2 linked regions of the Oryctolagus cuniculus genome follow. The protein of the gene in region 1 purifies or fractionates together with the protein of each later gene. This does not show direct contact. Links are inferred from orthologs where the notes say so. Each region holds a gene or a part of one and is shown in the gene's direction. Other genes may lie near its edges.

Region 1 (3,196 bases):
ATCCTGCCCGCATAGGAGTTGACCAGAGGGTGAAAATAGCTCGATAAGGATGGGGGTTCACCCTATAGGACACAGGGGTAGGTGTGGGATCCACTGTGTGTGAATCACGGCCAGTACTTAAAATGAGCTGTGGGAGCTGTGACTCCGCTGGGCTGGGAGGCACCGAAGGCGCTGAGCCGCTCAGAACATGAGATGCACACCGGGGCCGTGAGGAGTGGGCGATCCTGTGACCTCAGGACAGCAGGAAACACCCTCACCCCACCCTCGGCCTACAGGATCCAGACGAGCGGAAGACATCACGAGTCTGTCCAGTTCAACACCATGAGCCTCGGCAGCTTTTCTTAAAAATCATTCTTTGTCCATTTAGCGGAATACCCATTCTTCTATTTTTTTTAAAAAAAGATTTATTTATTTGTTTGACAGGCTGAGTTACAGAGAGAGAAGAGAGACAGGAAAAGAGATACCTTCCATCCACTGGTTCACTCCCCAAATGGCTGCAATGGCCAGGGCTGGGCCAACCAGGAGCCAGGAGCTTCCTCCCTGTCTCCCACGTGGATGCAGGGGCCCAAACACTTGGGCCGTCTTATACTGCTTTCCTAGGCCATTAGCAAGGGGCTGGGTGGGAAGTGGAGCAGCCGGGGCTTGAACTGGTGCCCATATGGGATGCCGGACTGCAGGTGGCAGCTTAACCCACCGCACCACAACGACACCACGACAGCCCTTGTGAAACAGGAATTCTTTTTCTAAACACTTGGAGCACTCCCGCACCCGAAGTGGGTGCAACCGGCCCGAAGCACTCCTCAGCCCAATGGCCCGATGGCCCGTGCCTCTGACCGCCTCACTTTGATCAGATCTTCCCCCAGAAGTCTCAGTAGGAGGCTTTTTCTGTCACCACAGCCACCGCCCAGTTCGTCTGTCCCACTGCACGTGACGCTGTCACTCACTCCCCCTCTGCACTTGTTCATTTGTTTATGGGCGGCCTCCTCCCGCTAGGATTGGGTCTTTGTTTGGCTCCCAATGCCCCATGCTGTGAGTTCAGTAAATACCTGAACACATTTCCTCTAAGGGCACACAGAGGAGCAATAACAAGGTTCTGGATTCTGAACCTGCACGCCCCCAGCCCCCGACCTGGTCTGTCCGTCTTCTGGGAGCAGTGTCCCGAGTCCGCATGCATGGGATTGGTCTGGGTCGCATACAAAGCTCAGGCCTCCTTTTCCACTGCTCTGCTCCTGGATTTTCCTTTCTCACGCTGAATTGGCTTAGGCTCTTTTTGAAATAAGTTTCTGGTGGATTAAACTGCTTTGAGCTGAGGGTTCTTGAACACTTAAATCTGTAAAAAAGGAGCTTCTGCGGCTATGCCTTTCTGAGTGTGACGTCTTGCATAGAATGGCCGTTGTTTTTAAGAATAGCAATAAATCACACTGGCTTCCAGAAGTCTGATGTTGTGGCCATGGCCCCTGCGCCTTGCCGCCTTGCCGGTGAGAGAGTAGACACATGTTCCTTGATGTGGACACACTCCAGGGTTGGTTTTCAGTGCGGTGGATTCCTGCCGGCCCAGAGACCGCGGACCTCCAGCTGCACCCCGGGAGTGGCCGTCCTGTGCTAAGTGTGGTGAGTACGCAGGAGTGGAGCTCCCATTCAAGTAACTCACAACCCTTTTCTTTTCTTTTTCCTTTTCTTTCTAAAGAGCTTCTCGATCTTCCATCCTCAGTAATTAAGAAGAAGGTTCATTTCAGTGGGGAAAGCAAAGAGAACATCGGGAGGAGTGAGGACCCCGAGAGCCATCTCACCTCCAAAGCCAAGTGCAAGGACTTGAAGAGGAGGCTGCACGCTGCCCAGCTGCGGGCTCAGGCCCTGTCGGATATTGAGAAAAACTACCAGCTCAAGAGCAGACAGATCCTGGGCATGCGCTAGGCCGTGCGCGCCAGCCCCTTAACCATGGACATCCAGCTGCTGCCGCTTGCTGTGCTTGGGCCACGAGCCGTGGCTTTGCGTGTCGTGAGCCTGATGCTTCAGAGTCGCCGTGCTATTCTACAGCAGCCGCTGTACGAGCGCCTGGGCTGTGTCTTCCTTCCTTCCAAACCTGGCGTCTAATCCTGTGCGTGCCGTGACTACTGCTTAGGAGCGTGAGCTGTAGCGTTCTAGATCTCAGGGGAAAACACACGCACGCAGGAGTGGCACGTCCTGGGCATCTTGAATGTCTGCGGGCTGCGCTGAACAGTTGCCGTGTGTAGTTTTAAGGGTGAGACTTTGGATGTCCTTGAACTTAGAGAGCTGAATTGAATGTAATTCAGTCACTGTACCAGCGCATCCTGCTCCCGACTGTGCCAGTGCAGTGCGAGCCGTTACCTTTGTGAGCTCGTGGCTGGGATGACTGCTCTTTTGGTCCCTTTTGTTCTCTGCTGTTCACCCCCACCGTTGGCCACTAAATAAAAGAGTCCTTCCGTTTTGCTTCTGTCTCCTGGATTCTGTGATCTCAGTAGGATAGAGGGAAGCGTGTTTGTAACTTAGGGGCCTTGTAGAGTAGGGAAGAGAACGCGACTCTGATGTCAAGAGGCCACTCTGCTCTTCCGTGGGCGTGGCTCCCCACGAGCCGCCTCCCTGGGGCACGGAGGCCAGGGGTCCTGAACCGCATGATTTGCTCCTGCGGGTGTTTGGCCTGGAGACCCTGCTGATGGTCATCACTGGGGACGTTGCTGCTGGTGCGGGGGGCAGAGAGTGGGCGTGTCGCGCAGCCCCTGCAGTGCACAGGGCAGCCAGCCCCGACGACGGCTTCCACAACGGCCCCTGCAGGGACCCAGCCTGAGCCGGAACCTGCTGGGGCACACCCCCCCACCCCCTGGGAGCAAACTCAGTTTGGACGTTGGTGAGTGTTTTAAAAATACGTCTGCCTTTTAGTGTGCGTTAGCAGTCCTTGTGGTCCATCGCGTTTTCCATGTGGTGTTTTGTGGGCAGTGTTAATCCTTTTGTACAATAAGACCAAATTGTGAAAGCTCAAGAAGGAAGAGGAAATAGCTCCTTTATGTGTTACACAATTGGTAATGTAATCCCACCAAAGGCAAGTGATGACGTTATCCAAACCATCAGAAACTGACGGTGCCTTTATGGTGTATGCCTAGGGGACCATTTTGACATGACTGTTGAGTGTGACTTCCAGCCTGCTCTATAGCTTGCAAAGCGCAGGCCTACGGAAACC
Region 2 (3,817 bases), on another chromosome or scaffold:
GCTCTGGCAGTTTATAAAGCGTTCACAGTTGACAGTCCTGTTCAGCAGGTGAGTTGACTGGAATTTTAGTGTGTGATTCACGAGTTACTCTTTTAAAAATAAATTTTTGTTATGAAATTGAGCAGAAATGATAAAAATAGTATCATGATCCCAGCAGTTGGTATAGCGCATTCTAACATACAGTGAAGACAATGGCAGGAAATTTTATAATTTCATTTTATTTTCTATATCATCACTTCTTTATACTTTTTTACTCCTTTGTCGATGAAAATCTTTAAACACTTTGCTCTTGGGTATTCTATTTGTTGTTATCAACCAAAGTTTATAAGACACCAAAGCTATAAAATATTTTTAACATGTGATTATTATAATTTACTGAAAAATGTTGGATAAGTAAAAATTGAGCTCATAATGATACTCAGAAAGAAAAAAGAAATCTGGCTTGTAACCAGTGTAGTTGGCTGTCACACCCGTGTTCTGAAAATTGGTGATTCAAGGGAAGAAATAAGCATCTGCTGTGTCTTCTCAGGAAGGTGTGTGATTCATCTTTATTAGTCGGAGGAAAACTTACACAAGAAATCCAGCTAATGCACACAGAAGGAACGCTGGAATTAGAAGAACACCATTTTATAAACTCCAGTGTAATTGATTCAGGCCAGAATTGTAAATGAATACTAATACAGTAGGGTGAAAGAATGTTACCATGGCACTAAGCTATCACCCTGTGGATTACTTGCTAAACATGAAAGAACATGTAGGGTTGACTGGAGTGTAGGGAGACTTGTCAGGGACACTGGTTTGTGGTAGTTCAGCTCAGAGATGGGTGTCTTGGAGAAAGTGTTGACACAAGTGTGAATCAAAACTGAGGGAGAAGTGAAGGGGGCTAGTGATCTTTTAGATATCAGGGATAAAAGAGATCTTAGCATATTTATTTCAGGGACCAAGAGAAAGGGATTTTTGTTAAAGGATTTATTTTATTTATTTGAAAGACAGTTATATAGAGAGGTAAAGACAGATAGGGGCCGGCGCCGCGGCTCACTAGGCTAATCCTCCGCCTAGCGGCGCCGGCACACCGGGTTCTAGTCCCGGTCGGGGCACCGGATTCTGTCCCGGTTGCCCCTCTTCCAGGCCAGCCCTCTGCTGTGGCCCGGGAGTGCAGTGGAGGATGGCCCAGGTGCTTGGGCCCTGCACCCCATGGGAGACCAGGAAAAGCACCTGGCTCCTGCCTTCGGATCAGCGCGCTGCGCTGGCCGCAGCGCGCCAGCCGCGGCGGCCATTGGAGGGTGAACCAACGGCAAAGGAAGACCTTTCTCTCTCTCTCTCTCTCTCTCTCACTGTCCACTCTGCCTGTCCAAAAAAAAAAAAAAAAAAAAGACAGATAGGGAGGGAGGGAGAGAGAGAGAGAGAGAGAGAGGAGAGGGAGGTCTTCCATCCACTGGTTCACTCCTCAAATGGCTTCAACGGGTGGAGCTGAGCCGATCTGAAGTCAGGAGCCAGGAGCTGCTTCCAGGTCTCTTCGTGGGTGTAGGGGCCCAAGGACTTGGGCTATTCTCTGCTGCTTTCCCGGGCACGTTAGCAGGGAGCTAGCTCAGAAGTGGAGCAGCTGGGACTCGAACCTGCACCCATAAGGAATGCTGGCGGTTCAGGCTGGGGCTTTAACCCGCTGCACCACCGTGCCAGCCCCTGAGGATGGGATTTCATAAAAGGAGTTGAGGTGTAATAGGTGCAGTATAGATTTTAGATACTTCAGATTGTAGCACAGTTCTCTTGGATATTTCTCTTCCTGAATTTTCATCTGTTAATGTGCCATTAAAAATACAACTCAACAAAAAGAAAATCCAATTAAAAAAGGGGAAAAAAAACATTTTCTAAAGAAGATATACAGATGGTCAATAAGCACATGGAAAGGTGCTCAGCATTGCTAATTACTAGACAAATACAAATTAAAGCCGCAATGAAATACCACTGTAGGTTGGCTATTTTCCAAAAACCAGAAAAATATCAAGCGTTCATGAGAATGTTCAGAAATTGGAACCCTGTGCATTGATGGTGAGAATGTTGACTGCTGTGGAATGTTCCGTTAGGATTACCTCATGATCCAGCCATTGTGTTTCTAAGGATATACGCTGAAGAAGTGGAAGCAGGCACTCATACAGGTTATTTGGGCACTAATGTTCGTAAGAGCATTATTCATGATAAAAGGTAGAAACAGACTACACATTCATCAAGAGCTGATAAGTAAAACATAGCATATGCAAACTGGAAAAATTCAGCTGTAAAAAAAGGAATGGAGTTCTTGATGTGTGCTACAGCAGGGATGAACCTTGAAGACATTATGTTAAGGGAAACAAGCAAGACCCAAAGGGACAACTTCGGTGCAATTTCACTTATATGAGGTATCTGGCATAGGCACATTTATAGGGAAAGTAGAATACAGGTTAACCAGGGCTGGGGTGAGGATGAAATGGTAGTTACTGTGTAAGAGGTGAGGTTTTTGTTTTGGATGAGTAAAAAGTTTTGGAAATGAATAGTGGCAAGGTTGTACAATATTGTGAATGTATTTCATACCATCAGATAGTACAATTAAAAAATATTGAACTAGGCCGGCGCCGCGGCTCAATAGGCTAATCCTCCGCCTGCGGCGCCAGCACCCCGGGTTCTAGTCCCGGTTGGGGCGCTGGATTCTGTCCCGGTTGCTCCTCTTCCAGTCCAGGTCTCAGCTCTCTGTGGCCCGGAAAGGCAGTGGAGGATGGCCCAAGTGCTTGGGCTCTGCACCCGCATGGGAGACCAGGAGGAAGCACCTGGCTCCTGGCTTCGGAGATATTTTTCTAAAATGAGTCTAGGGACTGTTAAGAGTAAGACCAACTGGTAAGCTTGGAGCTAATAAATGCCAACTTGGACTCTTCAGATAGTCTAGTTTTGTGAGGGATGCAGGGTTTAAGACAGATTGTGCCACAGGCTTCTTTCTGGTAGGTTTTTTGATTGTCTTTTCTTCTAAAACTTAATTACGTACGTGGTTTAGCCTTCCTTACAGTATTTATCATTAATTAGTCTAATTTTCTTTCTTTTTTGTTCCCATGGTATACATATTGTGCTGAGGAAGAAACAAAGTTATTATGTAGATGCTATTAATAGATTATTATTTAGATCAATTTTGTTTTGATTTTAGGCATTGTGGTGTGACTTCATTATATCACAGGATAAGTCTGAAAAGACCTACAGTAAGTTTCTTTTTGAAATTTTTATTTCTCTTAACGGTGATTCTTGATTTTTTTTTAATTCAAAGTAAGTAGCCACTCACAACAGTGGTTAGTTAAGCCTAAGCATTTTATATTGTGTATTAAAGAACTTCTGTTAGGATTGAGCTCTTTAGGAAAAAAAATCCATAAACATTATACTTTGTCTTTTCAGGTAGCTATGAAGTAGAAAAATGCATATGTATATTGCAAAGCTCATGTATTAACATGCACAGCATAGAAGGAAAGGATTACATAGCTTCCTTACCATTTCAGGTAAACTTGAGTGTTTCAGATTGTTTGTGTGTTTTGTTGGGGAACATTTTTAATTAGCTGGTTTTAGAGGTAGGCCTTATGTCTCATGTCTTATAGAAATCAAGACTTTTTACTCAAATATGACAACTGAATTTTGACCGCTTTAGTAACTGGCATTTTTCTGTCCTTTGCATTAAAAACTTCAGTTATTTAAGGAAGTGAATTATGAAGTTTTCTGAGAGGTTTTGGTCAGTTTATATAAGAAATAATTTTGTTGATATTAAATAAGGCGTATGAATAATAGTGATTTTCCTGTTGCTCATTAT

The links.
Region 2: the proteins of NEK2 (region 1) and ANAPC1 purify together in Homo sapiens (affinity purification with mass spectrometry; 3 studies listed by BioGRID and IntAct, with this or other methods). This does not show direct contact. The link is inferred for Oryctolagus cuniculus from reciprocal best matches to the Homo sapiens genes NEK2 and ANAPC1.

What each region holds. Positions count from the first base shown.
Region 1 is NC_091444.1:26,241,567-26,244,762, reverse strand, and holds the end of NEK2 (serine/threonine-protein kinase Nek2), read left to right. Parts: intron 1-1,687; coding exon 1,688-1,914; 3' UTR 1,915-2,451; downstream 2,452-3,196. UniProt on the Homo sapiens protein: Protein kinase which is involved in the control of centrosome separation and bipolar spindle formation in mitotic cells and chromatin condensation in meiotic cells.
Region 2 is NC_091433.1:113,103,568-113,107,384, reverse strand, and holds part of ANAPC1 (anaphase-promoting complex subunit 1), read left to right. Parts: coding exon 1-48; intron 49-2,281; exon of another isoform or gene 2,282-2,396; intron 2,397-3,169; coding exon 3,170-3,221; intron 3,222-3,411; coding exon 3,412-3,512; intron 3,513-3,817. UniProt on the Homo sapiens protein: Component of the anaphase promoting complex/cyclosome (APC/C), a cell cycle-regulated E3 ubiquitin ligase that controls progression through mitosis and the G1 phase of the cell cycle.